Drosophila melanogaster: one gene and its partners. Changing the gene in region 3 together with the main gene of any one other region gives a genetic interaction. Each region holds a gene or a part of one and is shown on either strand. Other genes may lie near its edges. The genes, in order: rpr, mam, Rbf and CycD.

The links.
Region 1: of Rbf (region 3) and rpr, changing one suppresses a phenotype caused by changing the other (phenotypic suppression), as found in Drosophila melanogaster (one study listed by BioGRID).
Region 2: of Rbf (region 3) and mam, changing one enhances a phenotype caused by changing the other (phenotypic enhancement), as found in Drosophila melanogaster (one study listed by BioGRID).
Region 4: of Rbf (region 3) and CycD, changing one suppresses a phenotype caused by changing the other (phenotypic suppression), as found in Drosophila melanogaster (3 studies listed by BioGRID).

What each region holds. Positions count from the first base shown.
Region 1 is NT_037436.4:18,397,017-18,400,070, forward strand, and holds rpr (reaper), read right to left. Parts: upstream 1,420-3,054; 5' UTR 1,220-1,419; coding exon 1,022-1,219; 3' UTR 519-1,021; downstream 1-518. UniProt on the Drosophila melanogaster protein: Activator of apoptosis, as well as grim and hid, that acts on the effector Dredd.
Region 2 is NT_033778.4:13,989,350-13,994,212, forward strand, and holds the start of mam (mastermind), read left to right. Parts: upstream 1-1,853; 5' UTR 1,854-2,143; intron 2,144-2,628; 5' UTR 2,629-2,755; intron 2,756-4,863. Other genes in the region: RN-tre (uncharacterized protein), read right to left, coding at 1-275, 336-487.
Region 3 is NC_004354.4:796,590-803,154, forward strand, and holds Rbf (Retinoblastoma-family protein), read right to left. Parts: upstream 4,891-6,565; 5' UTR 4,197-4,890; coding exon 4,008-4,196; intron 3,929-4,007; coding exon 3,789-3,928; intron 3,728-3,788; coding exon 3,539-3,727; intron 3,477-3,538; coding exon 3,122-3,476; intron 3,059-3,121; coding exon 2,727-3,058; intron 2,425-2,726; coding exon 1,689-2,424; intron 1,554-1,688; coding exon 1,173-1,553; intron 1,104-1,172; coding exon 888-1,103; 3' UTR 501-887; downstream 1-500. Other genes in the region: CG13359 (uncharacterized protein), read right to left, coding at 5,356-6,565.
Region 4 is NC_004354.4:15,906,315-15,911,600, reverse strand, and holds CycD (cyclin D), read left to right. Parts: upstream 1-1,924; 5' UTR 1,925-2,491; coding exon 2,492-3,064; intron 3,065-3,282; coding exon 3,283-3,504; intron 3,505-3,567; coding exon 3,568-3,742; intron 3,743-3,801; coding exon 3,802-3,947; intron 3,948-4,009; coding exon 4,010-4,327; 3' UTR 4,328-4,779; downstream 4,780-5,286.

The DNA of each region.
Region 1 (3,054 bases), on a different chromosome or scaffold from region 3:
TCTACAACAAATAGTTTATATCAAAACTAAAAATAATGTGGTTAAGATTCTATTATATGTAATACCGATTTATAATTATATTCGTTCTACAATAATTCAAGAAATTAGCTTGCATTAATATTATTATAACTAAATTATTATTATTATTATAATTATTATTATTATTATTATTTCCGGCAATATCAATCTTAATATTTTATTAAGATATATTTCAAAGCGGACTCTGTCACCGAACGCCGGAAATCAAATGAAAAACTTTTTCAAAACAAAAAAAAATCTTTAACGTTTCCTAACCAAACACATGTAAAATAATTTTCACAACCACCGATAATTTCACTGATTATTAAACAGCCTTCTAGAAAGTTCCTTTTACCGTCGGCGAAATGAAATAAAAAATGTGCTTGTTCCAAACTCAGTTTTTCGAGACATCATCTTAGGCTTTCTTCGCTTTTTGTATCTAAATCTTATAAATGGTAATCTGAAAATATTTAAGTAAATGAAAAACCAACAATTTTTTTAGTTTTTGTTTTTGTTTTATTGACTTTTTGTTTGACAAAAAATTGATGCAATTTTTAGCCAACTTCGACTCATCTTCGTTTTTTTCTGGGGTTTCTTCTTAAAAAAAACTTAGAAAAACTCGTCTTACAAAAGAACTTACAAACTATTACAGTAGTAATTCATTTAAATAGGCTTTAAGAGTAAATTATTTCTAAAAAAGTTGATTTATATCATTGAAACATTTTTGTAAAAAATTGGGGACTTTATAAAAACGTTATTTTTTCAAATTTTTCCTCCGCTTTTTTGTAGAAACAAAACCATTATCACAATCGCTTTGATGAGTAAACTAAAATTGGGTGGGTGTTGTGGCTCTGTGTCCTTGACTGCAGTAGAAATCGAGTGCCGTCGGCTGATGAGTGGTGACTGTGTTTGGGTTTTGGGTTGGCTCATGCTTATTTCCTTTGTACTCTGGATTTTGGACTGGACTATTGGTTTTCCCCGTATTTGTTAGTTACTCGAATCCTCATTGCGATGGCTTGCGATATTTGCCGGACTTTCTTCCGGTCTTCGGATGACATGAAGTGTACTGGCGCAGGGTTTCCAGGACGACGGTGGCCAGGAATCTCCACTGTGACTCCCGCAAGCGAAGGATCTGCTGCTCCTTCTGCTCCGCCTCCCGCAACAGAGTCGCCTGATCGGGTATGTAGAATGCCACTGCCATTGTTGGTTTATCTTTCTTCTCGTTCGGAATTACACAACTGGTAGTGACTCAATAACTTTCTCTTCTGCACAATGAATATTTATCGAGTTAGTTCTTTGTTGCTGGCGCACACACTTTTCTTTCGTATTTTCGAGTTCGTTCACTTTGTTCTGGTGTCTCTCTTATTCAATGATTTTTTCGAGATGCGTTCGCTGCGATGGTTGCTTTTCAACTGAATATATTGAGTAGTGCTCCGAGGCTATTTATACCTGGTTCTCTCACGCCGCCTTGTTCTCTGTTTTTCTGGTGGTGGCTGCTCATTTTGGCCTTCTTCGCTCTTCGGCTCTCTGGCTGGGGTTTTTTTGTTTTGGTATTTCTGTTGACATCGTCTCATTCGCAGCTCCCAAAAAAGTACTACTTTTCATCGTGAGCGGGGGCGGGGCCACCTTGCGCCTGTTGCCAAGCGTGTTTTTGTATGAGGTTGTGTTGTTGTTGCCAGGTTGGTGGCAGCGCCTTTGTTGTAACTGTGTGCGGCGAGAAGTACAGTTAGCATATTAATTGTATTAAATCGTCGGGGCATGACAATCGTTTCTCATCAAGGAGTTCGACAGAGAAAGACATACAAGAGTTGCTTCACGACTAAAGTTTGGAATACCCTCTAAGATTAACATTATTTACACTAGCTACCCATTAGTGATTAGCAACTAAACTAAGCCGGATACCTGATAACAGCCAAGTACAACCATCTAGCCGGTTTCATATTAATCCTTCGAATTTCATTTCTTAAATATTAAAAATATTTATTTTCATCTATGTCAATCAGCAAAAAGTCCTTTTAGCTATTACCGCCAGTATATTTTCTATAATATGATTAAATTCTTGAATTGTAATTAATAAGAAAATTCCAACTAAAAATGATGGAAAAATAAAACCAATATTTTTTAGGTTGGACACATTGATGCTATTAATAGTACAACATTTAAAGTACAAACTATTTACATAATTAAGCAGAATAGCTTCTTGTAAGGGTATTATAACAAGTGGGAGGCGGATTCACTTGAAATATGGGCAAGTGGGCAAGGAAGAGTTCCGTTCCATTTCTTGAATTATTTTCTCTCTTTTCCATGGACCAGCCCACCTGCCATATCTAGATAGATCCCTCTTTATCAGTATCTCGCGCTCTACAAGTGTTTACACAATCATCCGAAGCTTCCGACTAAGAATTATGACAATGTCATAAATTAAAGGCCATATACAGTATATTGACAACAATGGGCTCGTCCCATTATATTTCGTGTGCAATTTTATTCATTTTCATTAGAGCGGAACCAGACGGATATGATATGATACGATATGAATGTTTTCGTTGGAAATCATACACGAAAATTTCCCTGCGGCTTAAAGTATTATTAATTGCCTTCCTGATGGATATGATATCCGAACAATGTATTCTTCCAACATATAGGAAGCTTATTGAAATTATCTTTAATAATATATATTCTGCATTATTATATATAGGTCGTTTACATTTTAAATCTCAACTGAAACTTTCTCTTTAATGACGTAAATACATATTTCATCATTTTTCATCGTATCTAAGTCGGATTACCCATAAACATACTATTGTTTTGTTCTTAATTTCGTTATGATGTTTAAATAAATTTCATATATATATGTAATAGAAAATTAGCTCTTGAAACTCCACCTGCATAATTCTAAAATCTTTTACCCCACCCAAAGAACCGCGATGAGTTTTAAGTTCCATTCAAACTCCACCCACAAAGCCGTAGTACCGTAATACCGTACCCACACACAGGCAAACAGCCGAATCTTACGACGTGCGTCTCAAGTGTTTC
Region 2 (4,863 bases), on a different chromosome or scaffold from region 3:
CCGTGGAGTACTTCCTGGCCAGCTGCAGCATTCGGAGGTAGACGCCAGCATTGTTGTTTATCGATTGCTGGATGTCGAGCAGCTTATTCCAGGCCACCATACGCACGCGATCCGGTATGCCCTTGTAGACGCGCTTGTGCAGCTTATCCTGGGGCGGCGGCCACTGATTTAGCATCTTCATCCACTTTTTGTCCCGCTCCATTTCAATCTTGTTGCGATGCACCTCCTGGGCATCACGCGTCGACGGCAGCCGCGAGTCGTGCAAGAAGCCATATCTGTGGGAGCATCAATGGCATTATTGGGATTTTTTCTGGCGAATGATTAATATTACTCACTTGTCTGTCCTGTGGTAGATCTCGAAGGTGGGATTCTCCCAGGAGTCCACCACATTGCTGGGATCCAGCCCGAGTTCGTAGCGCCGGAAGATGTCCTCGCGCTCGTCCTCGGCCCGCTTGACCAGCGCCTCCTGCTGTTCGCCGTCAGTCATTTGGAGCAGGATCAGGATTTGGCGGGTGGGGGAGGGGATCGGGGACAGGAGCAGGAGCCGGATCCGGAGGAGCAAGTGGCCAGAGCTGGTTTCTCTGTGCTCTCAGTTGGGGAGCGGCTGCTTCTGAGCTGACTGGGCGATAGCGCGAAACTTTGATAAAAAAAAAATGGAATGGAAAAAATAACACACAAAAGCATTAACATGCGAAAGCGATCCACAATAACAACACTCGTATACTATATAGCTGATGAGCGAATGACGCACACGAACATTAACTATTGTATATATATATATATATATTCAAATGCAGTGAAATCAACATGATCTTTGTTTTTGGAGAAGGAGCGTGGCATAAATGACGTGATGTTTCACCCATATTTAGTGCAGCATCAAAACATAAAGCCATATAAGACTTGGTCACTGATCTAGAAAAACGCCCCCTGATCTGCGTTGTGTGAGTGTGAGTGGGCCAGAAATGTGTGGATCTGCATGCGCCCCCGGGTTTTTGTCGCCTATTTTAATGCGAAATGTGCAATCTTATGCTTTATCGTTCGTACACTTCCTGTTTTCGCTGCGATTTGTTGTATTTTGTCAACACAGACACATACGCACACACGTAACACACACACACACAGACGCTCCGACGAAAGAGAGTGTTCTGGCTTTCACTGGCCACTCTCTCCGCGTTCCTATGGTTGAGTTTAATTAATCGCGCCGACGTTCGTTTACCATTTAATTTTGAATTGCCAATTCTTATTATCCGCACTGATCGGTTATGTTTGGTAACTAGTTTTTCACTATTTTATCTCGGCTGCATGTTTCCGATACATTTGGGGGGCGACTGAGTGTGTGTGAGGGCCAGAGTTGCCAGACTGATGTAATTGCCGAATAACGTAACGTAACAAGAGTACCAGGGATGCGAGCCAATATTTAAGCGATACTTTAGCGTAATGTTATACGAGTTTAAATTTTAGTTGAAATGTTTGTGATGTCAATGTACAAATATGTAAAATGTTTATCTATTTAAAGCTGCAAATGAATGCTCATTTATAAATATTTAACAATGATATTTATTTACTTATTATTTAAAACCTATTCAGTTACTTAATTGCGACAAGTGGCACTTAATGAATTAAAACATTTGTGGAAAACATTTTCACTTCAAAATTTATTTCTTGATAACAAAATCGGCTTTTTAATTCAAATATAATTTTTGTGACTAAATAAGCAGTGCTGCCATACATTCAACTGGAAAACATCGTCAGCAACAGAAGGATAAGTAATCGCTTGATCGATAGCGTTATCGATGTTTTCCCAGCCATCGTTCCACCACTAGCGCCTCTCAAAACAACAAAAAAACAGCGGCAGTCGGACGCGGTTTTTATCATCGAGCGCGGTTTCTTTGTTTTAGCGCTCGAAAATTGTCGAGAACTCTCGTAAAAAATACACTGTACCAAATAACTAAGGAGTGCATGCTAATTGAACAAGCAAATGAATTAAGGTGTATATCAAAGTGAAAAGAAGTCAAACATAACCGATTTTGTTGGCGGCTTTCTTTTATTTTTGTTGAGATACCGTGTTTAATTTCTCCAGTTTTATGCAAACACATGAATAACATAACAGTGGAAATTTCTAAGAGTGCATTGTGAGATAAAAGTAAGCAAATAATTAATATTATGTTTAACATAAAATGCAACCCTCAACAGCGTCCTTTTTAAAGGTGTGCGTTTATATATATATATATATATATATATATATATATATATGTGTGTTTGTGTGTGCGTGTGAGTGATTGTGGATTTTGTGATGCAAAAGAAAATTGCCGCGTGTAAATTTTTGATTTTCAATTCGAGACGAGCAGAGGATTTTTAAACTGCAGCTCTAGCATTTACCGTTAGGGCAAGAGTAAACACATTCAACATGTTGCAGTCACTAAAAACTAAAACAAAAGCAAAGCGGATCACTCTCTTTCTCATTCTCTCATTCGCTCTCTTTGAGTTATAAGTGTTTTTGCCGTGTTTTGTTTTGATTTTTGCACATACACGAAGACATCGAGAGAGGAGAGCGGAGAGTTTCTGCTCTTTTGATTGTTGTTGCATTGGCCAGCTAATAAAATTGTGCCGTTCTTGTTGTTGTTGCAGTTGGATTAAAATTCAAAGCATTGGATAAATGCTAAGTTGAAATAACAACAGTAATAACAAATGGAAAATAGCAAATAGCAAATCAAAGGAAATCAAAATCAAGTTGGATTATCAGCACAGCTTCTGGGTAAGTAAGTTAAGTCTCTTATCGCCTAATTAGTTTATAGCGTTTTAGTTTCGTGTGGGTGGCTTTTTGCATTTCAAAACCAGTTCTATTTCGGGTTTTCATATGCCTTTTTTTCTCTTCTCATGTTGATAAGACCTTGAAGCGCTTTTCGTGTAGAACTTCGCATGATTGATGTTTTTATGTTTGAGGGGAGCTTGAGTCAAAGCTCGGCTTTTAAAAATGGATCAAGACCAGTTTTTCGAGGCTTTGGAATTGCCAAATAATTTCCTAAGCCCAAACTGCAGTTTGTTGTGGTTGTTGCTATTGCTTTTGCTTGCATCGCCTAGAAAATGATGGATGCACACACCTCTCGCTCTACCCTTGCCGTCCCTTTCGCACATCCAGAAGTTGTCGGTTGAGTTTTTATGGCCGTCTCTTTTGTCTCTCCATTTATTTGCCTTTGTCTTTGGACTGATGACTTTGTTTTTGCCCTGTCTTTGATTCTTTCTTTCTCTCTCTCTGCTTCTTCTTCAACGTTGATCCTTTGATTTCGTTTGATCCTTGTAGGTAGAAAAGATTGAGTGTGGGAGAGATCTACCGTTGTTTCGTTACTTCAATCTATAAGATACTAGAATTTTCTTTTTTAAAACCAATTCGAGAAATATTTCAATATATATTTTTGGGGAAAGAAGAATTTTAATTCTTTCGAATATTAAAGAGTTTTTTAAGATTGATTTATAAATTTCTTTTGGATCTTATTATTTGTATTTTGTATACGAAACATTCCATCTTATATTATTATCGTTAGTTTTTTGTAACTCCAAAAATCAAAATAAATATTCAAATAAAGAATTCTGTATTGCCTTTTGTTTTAATGCCATTATGCAATATATGCATTTATTGCTTAAATATTTTTAAAATTATTAACAGCATTCAGCTTATGTCTTTTGAACATTCTCCTTACCAATATCAGATGCATTCCAACCGAAATGCGACGAAGGGCATGCATTTAAACACAATACCTGGCATACTCGACATTTTAAATGCTTTTCATCACTTGATAAACAGTATTATTTGCCTTTCCTTTTTTTTTTTTTACATACATGTATCTCCCTCTGTTCGCCGCCGTTTGTTTTGCCCCCGTCTTCGCATATGTACGTCTTCGAGTGGTCTAACATGTAATGTATGCCTCGTCTTTAGTTTCTTGTTCGTTTCGTCTTTGAGACACCGGAAGTTGTTGCTAGGCTGAAAAAGTTGTGTGTGTTTTTCAGCAGTGTCTCCAGCTGTATCTTTATCTCCCTCTGGAGCCGTATATCCATCTCTATCGACGAGCAAGTGGCGCGTGTGAATGACCCAATTAAGCTGAAGATAACCCGGCCTAAGCTTCGACTTCGTAGGTGGCTTAAAACAACTCGGTTGGCCAAGAAGAAGCAGCCCCAGAACCTGCCAGACGAACATACCTACTATGGCACAACAAAAAAGAGTTCACATCGAATATATCGAATGCGAAGTTTGAACTGTAAACAGGTTTACTTGGCCTCACCTCGCTTCGTCTGCTGCAGTTGGCTGCTACAGGTTTGCCTCCGTATCGCGAACTGCGCGCCATGGAATTTCCTGTATTCATTCATTTTTGAATCCATATAACATAAGCCTTATTTCACTTAAGTTAAAAAACTACAATAAGAAGAAAATAAATGCATACCATTTCAATCTTAAAATTCTTGAAATAAAAAAAATTTCATTCCGGGTGTGAATTTGTGGATTTGATTAAATAAAAAATAACTGTAGTATATATATGTTGATGTTGAAATTTTTAAAAGCTCCTCCATTACTTTCTCCATTTAAGAAACAGGGTAATGTTTTTCTAAGGTCAGCTTATGCAAAGAATAACATATGCAGTAATCCCAGTTTAAGTTATCAACATTTCACTGTACATGGTTTAGTGTGGTGCTTTATTTTGTCAGGCCAAACTCCTTTTCAACATTTTTGTATTAAATATTTCGCACCATGTTCTGCATTTATTCGGATACGAGAGATCTCCCGAGGCTCCAGTCTTCAACTCCATCTCCTTCTGTGCGTCTGCCATCTCTGTTCGACGCTCTAATGCCGTCCTTTTCTGTGGCATATTT
Region 3 (6,565 bases):
GCTCTGTTCCGAATTAACGGTTGTGCTGCTTTCCTATTGGTCAATTGGTAACTGGAAAGATCGAAAGGGCTGCCAGCTGCAGCTTGCTAGGGATTCTGTTGGCCTAGTGTCTGGGACCCGACAGTTGTCTGCGAAAAATGTTGCCCCGTCGTAAATTTTGTCAAAAATTTGTGAATTCTCAGTGGCTGAACACCAGGCAAACAAAAATTGCCACATAGGGCAGACATCATAAAGTAACTAACGGTTTCTCCCCATCTTTGGCTTCCTATTGGTCGAATGGGCTGACTGGAAAAGCGTAAGGCGCAGCCATCTTGAAAAGGATCAGCTGTTTTAGTTAATTTGAGCGGCCAGCTAGCACCTGTTACTGTTTCTGTTCGCCTGGTGCCTGAAACTTGTAAAGGTGGCAATTTCGACCAGAGAAATTACGATTTTAAACATCCCATCCTTTGTACGACGACGTAGATCGACTACGAAAATGTTTAAATAAATACAATTAACATCAATTTGTAAAAAGTATATTTGTATATAAGCTTTTATATATAATGTGGATTGCATTAATTTGATTTGTTTTTTTGTTAGTGATTTTTAAATCGCGGGGAGTCGCGACCGATGGATGTGTGTGTGTGTGGTGATCAAGTATTTAGTACAACTATTTCAAAGTATTGGGTTAGCATATGAATTATATGGTTGGCTGGCGTTGAGCAAAATTAAAAGATGTGCTAAAATAGTTTGTTGAAATTAAGTTAAAATGTCAATTTAAGTTTTAATATTTAAAAAAAAACAATCATAAAATAGTCGAACGTGCGCCGGAGGGGCCAGTGTGTGGCCTTCTGCGCCGAATTTTTAGTTCTTGCCTTAAGTCTAGTCTGCCCCCATAAGCCCCGTGTCTATGTCTCGTGTTCTCCTCCTTCGCCCCCTACGCAACCTTCCGTGGTAACAGCAGTCTGCTGCTCGGCTGACTGCAGTTCAGGGTCGTCCATGACGGCCTTGACCTGGCTGATTTTCGAGCGCTTCGTCTCTGCCATTGTACCTAGTCCGGGCTCGTCGCCAAAGCTCAGCATGCGCTTGCCGCCGCGTACCTTTTCGTTCATAGCCTGAAGGTCCTGCGGGTATAGCAAGCGGATTAATCGATGTTATAGCTGAGGAGGTGGACGCAACTCCGAAATATTTACCTTGGCGGGGCTGCGGCAAAAACTGTAGACCATCTGGTTGGGCGACTGCTGTATCTCGTTCTTGGACATCTGCGACACGAACAGCGAGTGGCTCTGGGTTACCTTCTTGGGCTGGGCGGCCCGTTCCTTCGGATGCGGGGAGAGCTGTAGATCCGAAGCCCGGCCACTCACGTCCGGAGTTACGTTTAGGTAGTCGATGACGAACTGCCGCATCAGCGGCACGTAAGTGTGGTTGTAAAAGTGAATGATGTCCTTCACCTTTGGCTCCCCGTCCTCGTTGATGTCGATGAACACCTCGCGGTAGACGCTGTTCACCGCCTGCGGCTGGTTGCGATATGCCCGCATAATGTCACTGAACTTGGGGTCCTCCATTCGCTTTACCTGCGGGTTGTAAGGAGTTGCATGGATGTTATAAGTGGGTCTTCAGCTGCACACGGACGAATGCATCTGATTATGTGCATTTCAAAATGTATGCCAGCGAATCGGACAGAGATAGAATGTGGATGTGCTACTCACTCTTATGTAGATATATATTGCACACATAATATTTTGATCGAGGTGGCGGTCCTTCATCAATTCCGTCTCGTGGGTGATCGAGTGCTCAAAGATGTGCCAGATGCTCTCGGGCGTCTTCTCGCACAGTGACAGCTCCGAGCACAGCTTCTGGATGCGCAACCAGCCAAGCAGGTACACCTTGCGCAGGAATATCTGCAAGGGGCCGGCGGCGCGGTCGAGGTTAACCATGAGCCACGTGGGCAACGGCAGTTGGGCGGAGGCGATCATTTCCCAGACGGTCGAGTTCCTCGCCCAGGCCAGCCGCTCCAGACACGTCTCCTCGATGGAGTTAAGGTGCTTTATCAGCGACCGGTTCAAACAGCCTTCGTGCGAGCCGTGCCGCACCACGATCTCGATGATCTTTTGGAACTCGAACGCGCTAATACTGAAACAGTCGAGCACCCACGGGAACTTGAGCTCCGTTTTGTAGGCCTCCAGCACCAGCTCCACGCAGCAGGCCATCAGCGTGATGTTAAAGATGACCAGGGAGACCTTCTGCACCAGCAGTCGCTTGAGATCGATGTCGGGCTTGTTCCGAATTTCCGCCTGCAGGATCTGGTCGAGCAGGTAGAAGAAGAAGGACTTCGCTAGTTGGAAGCGACTCTTCGCCTCCGTTGACGGGTACTTGGCGAGGAATTTCTGCTCGATCTCCTCGATGATGCTAAGCAGCTTGGCTATTACCTCTTCGCCAGCTTGCCTGGATAAAGACAGGGCGATATCAAAACATGAGCTATAGAAATCAATCCCGGATTTAATCTAATCGATTCTTCTTACATCAACAGAAATTTCTATGGATGTGTGCTTCGGCTAACGAAATTCGATATTCGATATTTCCTACGATTTATAAAGCAATCAAATAAACATGAGTTTTGTTTACACGACGCCAACGACTTTCAGCCATTTGGACATAGAGATAAGCCTTTTCTCTCTCACAGGTTTTGAATGATAGTTAGGAACACTCGACACCCAACCCAAATACAAGGCCAGCCGGCAACTCACTTGACAAAGTCCGTGGGTTCTGTGATCCGTCCGAAGGCGCTCAGCTGCTTCACGTTGTTAGTGGCGTTGCGGACGGGCTCAAATTTATCGCCAGCCATCGCGGGCTGCGCAGGCAGATCTTGCTTGCGGGTAAGCGGAGTAACCGGCGGACGCAGGGACTGGTCGTTGAGGGCAGTGTGTTCCCCCGCATCGTAGGCACTCAGAATGCGTTCGTCGAATTCGCCGACGCTGAGGACGTACTGCTCGTAGCTGATGTTGAGGGACTTTAGGTTGCGCTCGAAGTTTTCGTTAGCCAATAGGCCTAACATAGTGTCCTTGTTGCCGTAGATGGTCTGGTCGAAATGAAAATAGAACAAATTAATTGTTTTAATGGAAATCCGAAACGGCACTCCTACCGAAGCCTGAAAGAAGCTCGACATGATCTGGCGGAAAGTGGTGGCCTTCATGGCTTTAGCCTCCTCGGTCATGTCACAGAAGTTGGACAAAATGCAGTGCGGATTGTGACGAAAGTCCAGCTCCGTCCAGTTGCTCGGCAGGCCCTCGAATTTGGGGTTGATGAGATCGGTGCGCTTCTCGGCCAGCACATTGTTGTATATCAGGTCTATGCAGCAAATCATCAGATTGTAGGATGTCACCAGGTCCACGGTGTTGCTCGGCTTCTGGTTCTTGGCGCAGAGAAACAGGCGCCAGCAGATGTCGTCCAGCTTGATGTACGAGCACTTTCCGTGGGCGTGGTTGCCATGCAGAGAACTGTTCCAAAGAGGGAAGCTTTTTATATACACGGGGTCAGGCTGACATGATGATATACGCACATGTACTTGGAGTGCTTCTTCTCGTTGGGCGGGCACGAGAAGATCATGTCCATAATAATGCGGAAACGCTTGTGCAGCATGAATGTAATGCTGAACTTGCGGTCCAGATCCTCAATCTCGTTGACAAACTCCTGAGGCAGGTTGGCCATGTCGCACCACTGCTTAATTTTGGTCTTGAACTCGTAGATGCTGTGGGTGGGGATTGTGGAAATGGTTAGGTGTGAAACTGCAGGCATAAACGGCAACCCACCTCATCTTGCAGCAGCGCAGCAAATTGTTTAAGGACACACAATTACCCTTGACCACTGCATTCTGGCCAGTCACCGTGGGTGTGCTGGTTCTTCGGCAGGCCGTGTAAATGGCGCAGCACATCCAGTGGCTGGCTGTGCCCTTTTAGGCAGGCAATGCACAGAAAGAATGAAAGAAAGGACGTTAGGTTGGAGGCTACTGCTGCCACTTCGAAGCTCACCTCCATGGAGCACCTCTGGGACACCTCTAAGTACGTCTCGTAGCCCTGCAGCTCTGTCTGCCGATCCATGTTTAGATCCCGGCATAGGTTCGTGTACTCGGCGTTGATCATCTCCAGGCGGTCGTCGCTGGTCGCCACCAATCCGCTGACCACCTCAGCTCCCAGTTCCTGCGGGTCAGGCTCGCTCATGTCTGCGAATGATGTCTCTGTCCCGGCTGATTGCGTATGCTTGCAGCGGCGGCCGCTGCTTCTGGCGACAGCCTGGAGTCGGAAATCGGAGACGGAGGCGCCTGAATTGGAGCTAGCCGGCTAACCGGGGCGTTGCGGGCCTGGCGCCGCTGTTTACGTCTAGTGGCCTGGCGCCTAGTGGCTGCCGGTGTATGCTGCGCTTGCCGCCGCGCTCCTCGCGGACATGTAACTGCGAGAGCTTACACTTAATTACAGAAATAATGAAGTTTCCCGCCGAAATGATTTGGGCGTGTGTGTTTGTGTGCGAGTGTTTGTCGCGTGTGTGTGTGTTCGCGATACACCCTTTTCTGAGGAACACAACAAAAGAGCAGGCGAGGGGACAGAACAAACAGCGCTGGGATGCTGCGATTAGCCAGGACCACACCACGGCCACGGTTGTTGGTTAAAACACATTAACAAAATAACTATTTCACAACTTAATCGCCATGGAAAACGCGGGAAACTTGACTAGTTGCGGCGGGCAGGTGCGTGTGATCCACTCCGCGTTCGAACTATCCACTTCTAGGGCTGCGCGGACGATGTGGCCCTAGGGATGGACTTGTGCAGAAGGAAAACTAATTTATTGCCACTACTTAAAGATTTTGCAATTGCGATTGCATAGTCAGAGTCTGACACGTTAATACAAGTTAATGGATTTTTAGTTGGGCGGCCGGTATTTCGCCAGCAAAGCCATGCGGTCACACCGACGCGCGCATTCGGCCAGTTTAAACGTGGTGGGGTGGTATTACTACAGTGCTTGGCGAGTTATGCAGTGACTGCAAGCAGTATGTCGTGTTGCATACATACCTAAATTGGGGGACCCTAAAATGAATTAGAACGAAATAATTGACAAAAATATGTGTACACATATAATTTATTTGCAATGCACAATGCTATTTGCATGTGTGCGGTAAACTGACAGTGTTGGTTAGCGTTCAAGAGCATTGCACATCGGCGATATAGCTAGTTGTAATCGATAGCCGCAAATTTAAATACTGCTTTGAACTTTATGGAAATTCGCGGGAATTCTTCGCGATTCAGCTACTAACATACATACATATACACTATACAATTTAGAGAACTTGCTGTCGCAGCACATACGACCCGAGCTACGACGTGGCTAACGTAGATACCGTCTTCTGAACCTCCTGGCCAGGAGGTGGAATAGCATGTGTCGCCGCATAAAGGCCGCCGTCAGACCTGCCGCCGTGGACAGCTCGTGGTTTTCTTGAGAATCGCTGGCCAGACTGGAGCTCTCGAAGGAATTGGAGGAATTGAAAGAGTCAGAACTCTCTGCCTGCGTATTCTGATCCGCACCAGTTCTAGCACTTCTCCAAATGGGTGTTGAAGAGCCGTCGGACTTACAGCCACTGGTGTTGGTTCTGGAGTTCGGGATCTGGGTTCTGTCGGGATGCTTCTCCAGCACAAGGCAATGCTGTCTTTTGAACGGTTGACTAGCAGACACACCGTACTTGGCTATCGCGCGGTTGAGCTCAGGATCGGGGATGTATGCACCGCGCGACAAAGACTCCGTTTTTCCGATCGATTTTCTTTTGGAAATATACCCGCTGACATATCTTTTTGGTCTAGAGAAACGTCTCGCGGAGGTTGCCTTCTCAATAGTCAATTTCCTCGCGGAGGTTGCATTGTCAATGGTCAAGTTCCTCGTGGATTTTGCCTTGTCAATAGTCATTTTCCTCGCGGAGGTTGCCTTCTCAATAGTCAATTTCCTCGCGGAGGTTGCATTGTCAATGGTCAAGTTCCTCGTGGATTTTGCCTTGTCAATAGTCATTTTCCTCGCGGAGGTTGCCTTGTCAATAGTCAATTTCCTCGCGGAGGTTGCCTTGTCAATAGTCAATTTCCTCGCGGAGGTTCCCTTGTCAATAGTCAATTTCCTCGCGTTGGTTGCCTTGTCTATAGTCAATGTCCCCGCGGAGGTTGAGTTGTCAATAGTCAATTTCCTAGCGGAGGTTGCCTTGTCAATAGCCAAGATCCTCGCAGAGTTTGCCTTGTCAATAGTCAAGTTCCTCGCAGAATTTGCCTTGTCAATAATCAATTTCCTTCGCTCCGCCTCCTCCGTCTGCAAAGTCTTGTGGTGCACCTCAACGCGATCCACAAGATTCTTGGCCGCCTTCTGATCAGCTAAATTCATCTCTGCACGCACCTTGCGGAGAGCAAGGCAGTCAATGATGCTATGACTCTGCCAAGTGACCTCCAGGTCGGCGGGGATTGGTGTTCCCTCTGACGCCAAGCAGCCCTGACTCGTCATTACTTGTTTCTGGCAAATGTCCATGAACTTGTCTCGCCGGCTAAGCAACGCGTGAGGCGCC
Region 4 (5,286 bases), about 15 Mb from region 3:
GTGTCACTCAATAGATTTTACTCTATTCATCTTATTTGTAAGCACTTGGTTACTTCTGGTCTTTGTTATTTACTTATTGTGTCACTGGGTTTTTTATGATTTACATAAATGTTTATTGTAAGTTAATAAATTTAAATGCCTGGCTTGTACGTCCTCAACATTTTTCACATTACGCTGTCTCACTAAACAGAAGGTTTATTGTGACTTTGTAGGTCCAGGACCGACTCCGTGAATGGATCAAATATCATGCGGCACGGCATTCATGGCACTACTTCATTCAATGTATATCCTATTATAAAGTTGCGTGGGCTTGGCACTGCGTTTGGCATTTCCAGAATGTGGTATAAAGGTGTTTATAACGTCCTGCGAAGTCCCCTCGCAAATGAATGCGATATTTGGGACTTTGTTGGCATTTATGTATGTATGTCATGAGCACCACACACGCGAACATATGCATATTAAACACAGTATTATTAAACAAAAAGAACCTCCTGAAACTTTGACACTTTTCGATTCCAATTAGCAAGTGGCGGGCGAGAACAATTGAATCAGCTAATTGTTCCACACACATTTGTGTGGGTAATTTACGTGAATGAAAAATTATTTTCGTACAGCACGTCTCTTGTCTTCTTCGGGAATATAACGAATATAAAATTTCAGGGGATTACAGCATCCCTCTGACGGAAAGCGAAGTCGGCGGACGCGAGTGTTCCACTCAACTCTCGTGTGCTGTTTCAAAGTTTTCTCTGAATCCTTAAGCTTTTTCTGGGAAGCGAGCTTTTGTCTGTGTGCCGAGAGTGAGGGTAAATTAATTTGCAACAACTAAGTTAGCAAAATGCGAACCCAATTAAGGATTGTATCATTGAAAGCATTCTCCACGCTGCAGTTTTTCCTAAAAAACAACAAAAAACTGCAGCACCGAAATTAGGACAATGGACATGGAAGTCCATTTTAATCTCGATGTGTACATATATCGGTACATCATTTCTCGGAAGGGATCCACAGGTTACTTTTGTTTATCATTAACCTGGCATTCCTAAGTCGCGAAAGCTTTTTACCCTTTTATCAATATCTTATTAATTATTAAACAAAGCAGCAAAGATTATATCTTTTTTTTACAATTGCTTTTAGAATTTTTTTAGTGAAATTATTTTAGGTTTCTTACATGTCTTACTGTTTGTCATCTAAAACTGTTTAAGTACAACCCTAAAGAAAATAACAGCAGTTCAATGCTTTTTGTAAGCGGTACAGGATCTTTAAGTGCAGCATTCATTTATTTACGACTCTTTCGAACAACCTGCCATTTAATCAACAGGTTCCGGCCATTTAAACGGAATTTAATAAGGGTGTTTTGATCACGATTCAACCTAGTAGGGTGATGCCAGTGAGTTTTGCATTACTGACCATTTTGTCGTGGACCACGATCGTTAAATGTATGACATGCCGAAAGATCGACTGTCAGTACCATCCTTACATGAATGCAGGGTGGCAACGCCCTAGCATATTTTAGTATTTTTGATTTTGCTGGAGTAATTGGAACACTTGAGTGATGTGAAATTCACATCAAGAGTAAGTTCGTAAGATCGTATAACAAAAAGCTTATTTAAGAAAAAAAGTAGTGCAATTAGAAGAACTTTGTTTTTATTATAAGGGTAAGACCCTTTTATAGTCCATCAAACCCATTGATGGATTATAAGTTTTTAATGTTCTAATAACAACCCTAAGTGAAACATATTTCACAAGCAACAAGTTGGAAACGCAATGAGGAGGTTCCCCTTTTCAACGTATTTCGCTTGCCTTTCATTGCAAAGGATAGTACTATACTAATAACCGATGAAGATCGATATGTTTTACTGATCGCAGTGAGCAAGAGATATAACTCCGATGACGGCATGCTGAACTAGTTTTTTTCTGCCATAAGGTGTAACTATCTGGTTCACATAAATGCTTTGTCCACGCCGGTTAAGTGGCAAACGTGTGCAACTTCGAGTATACTTTTTTAATAGTTAATTTACATTACTCCATGAAGTGCTGTGCCGTTTGTATATAACCAGAATTCCGAGAATAGGCGTAAGTGAAAACTTTTGTTCTCGAGCTGATCGTACATAGCCATGCATGTACATGTACATAAGTACATAGTGTGAAATGAACGAGTTATTTCTGAGCAGGTCGAAAAAATATGTAAATAATGTAATGTGCATATGAATAAGTCAAGGTATTAGGGTTATATGCTATACTCTAGTGCTCCCACAGGACTAAACACATATGCCCGCAGTGTGCCCATACTTGAGCAAATACTTGAATTAAATGTGAAAAGAAGGTTGCAACATACATATGTATGTATGTACTTATGTACGATCATTTCCTATTGTACGCAGTGTTCCCATATCGGAGTTACCCAAAGTTCCTGATAAATCGGCACACATAAATGGCTTGAGAGTGCGGCGATCCATAGAATCCATAGCTTTAAACGGAACGTATGGCCGATATAATGGATCTTTTATGCTCGGAAATCATAGTCTACGAATCAGATCCATCATTGTATCGTTTGAACAAACGACAGCAGCAAATGTCCTCACCGGCGATCATTCGGGATCAATCATCGATATGTTCATCCTTGGGGGACGCGGAATCCGATTCCCATCCGGATGCCCAGAACAATGCCGTAGTGTGCAATATGAAGGAGCTGGTGTATATATACGCGTCCGTGGACTCGGCTGCGAAAAATCCAGAACAATTGGAGCCGCCTCCGCCACCTCCACCACCGCCGCCACCACCACCGACAGCGACCCAATCAATCCAAAGTTATCCGCGTTACATCAGCCAGGAGCCACCGACGTCACATTGCCAACGACTCGACGAACGCCTGACCACAACAGCCGATCCACCCGCAACCGACAACGTGAACACTGCCATCGGGGATCCCACATTGTATTCGGATCGGTGTCTGGAGAATTTCCTCAAGGTCGAGGAGAAGCACCACAAAATTCCCGACACGTACTTTAGCATCCAGAAGGATATTACGCCACCGATGCGCAAAATTGTCGCCGAATGGATGATGGAAGTGAGTAATTAAACGAAATGTAGATACAGCATCCAAATCATATCAAGCTAGCCGACTGTGATATACGCATTATTTATAATCTGTTAGAAAATATTACCAAATAGATGGAAGTTTCCAAGAACTTCATTAATTAGTGTTTGTTTTAGTAGTCCTTATCGCACACCCATTACAATATTTTGACTACCCTTTTCGTTCATTAATTGAATACATGTTCACAGGTGTGTGCCGAGGAAAATTGCCAGGAAGAGGTCGTATTACTGGCATTAAATTACATGGATCGATTTCTTTCGAGCAAATCAGTACGCAAGACCCAGCTACAAATTTTGGCCGCAGCTTGCCTCTTACTGGCTTCAAAGCTCCGTGAACCCAGCTGTCGTGCTCTTTCGGTGGATCTACTCGTTGTTTACACGGACAACAGCATCTACAAGGATGATTTGATTGTAAGTACCTTTCTCGTAATACAATACCTTTCGGTGAACATGCGGTTTCATTTCATTCCCAAGAAATGGGAGCTGTATGTGCTAAGTCGCTTGGGCTGGGACCTCTCATCTGTGACTCCCTTGGACTTCCTTGAGCTTCTGATGATGCGCCTGCCGATAGGCAGCAAAAACTTTCCGGACATAAACATTGGCAAAGTGCGGGGACATGCTCAGGCATTTATATCGTTGGCAGCAAAAGGTAAGCCATATACAAAACAGTCCAACTTAAGTACTGACTTCCCACCCCTTCCTTTGAAGAACATAAGTTTGCCAAGTTCTCGGCCAGCACCATAGCTGCATCGAGCATAGCTGCGTCAATGAATGGCCTAAAGTGGCATCTGCGATCGGGACACAATCTACACTTCCTTTTGAGTCTGATGACCGATCTAACCAGCGTGGAGCAAGTGAGTATGGCAAGGGAGCAGTGTTGTTATGTACCACCACTCAATTGATTTTAAATGCACAGGCTCAGGTGCGAGATTGTATGCTGCACATGGAGGACATCTTTAAGGAGCACAGTCGGAATCTAGAGCCATTTCTAGTGAATATTGACCCAAAAGAAATGTCAACATTATACTACAAGAGGCGCTTCCAAATACATCAATCGCAGCATCTCTCGCAAATCTCAATTAGACCCTTGCCGCTACCGAAAGCTCCTGCCGAGTGCGTGGAGCAACACCAGCAGCAGCACAACTTTGGGTCCGCAGCGCCACATCGGACGCACACGTGCAAGATGCAGGCGCAGGCTCAGGCTCAAAACGAGATACAAGACGTTACATTTTGAGGTGTCAAATGATAGTTATGCATACATGATAGTTATGTCAGGCTTAAGTTGAAATTATATATAGGATCCAAATAGTCCGATCACTATAGGATTGGCCAATATCACACTATTTACATTTGAATCGATGTATTTTATATGTACGCAACTATTTTTTACCAAACTATGGGTTATTATTTTTAGCTATCCTAAATATTTTGTATAAAATAGTTTTAAATAATCATCATGAAACTTTGAAATGGATGAAACATAAAAACGAGACTGATTGTAAGCAGCAAAGCAACATTTTTTTTTTGTATATAAGCTTTTCGAAATCCTACACAGATAACCAAAAAAGAACGAACTATTAAATGCAATTTTTTTAAAAACCATCCAACATAAAGAGAAAAACAATATGTTAAAGTTAACTTTGGATAACAATTATATAAGTTGGCAAATAAATGATAGAAAAAAGCAATTTCTTCTCTGCCCTCTATGATGTATGTATATTTTCGTATAATTTACTTTCAGATAAATCGCATTAGCTTACCAAACGAATCCAAGTAGTTAAAGGCAATGCGAATAATTTAATTTTTCTTTATTTTCTTATTAACAAACGTCTATAAACAAGAATCGTTAAAGACCATAACCTTAACACACACATAATATTTATCATTGAATAGGTTTTTGTATAATTTCTTGCGGACATTGCGTTGCTAAATAATATTTGTTCGCATATAATTCATTGCTCTGAGGATAGTTTAGTTCATACAAGTTTTTAGAGTGAGTACATAGTTCGATTTTTTTTTTACCATCAATGTAGAAGCATTGTAACACTGCAATTAACGATTTTCCTTTTAGATATTTCTTCGGTTTTTGTTTTGAGCTTTAAAAAAATACTGGCTTTATTGCATTCCTGCACTCGTCCGCCTCCTGCACTGCGATTCGAAATATCATATATGTACGGATATATGTAATACCAT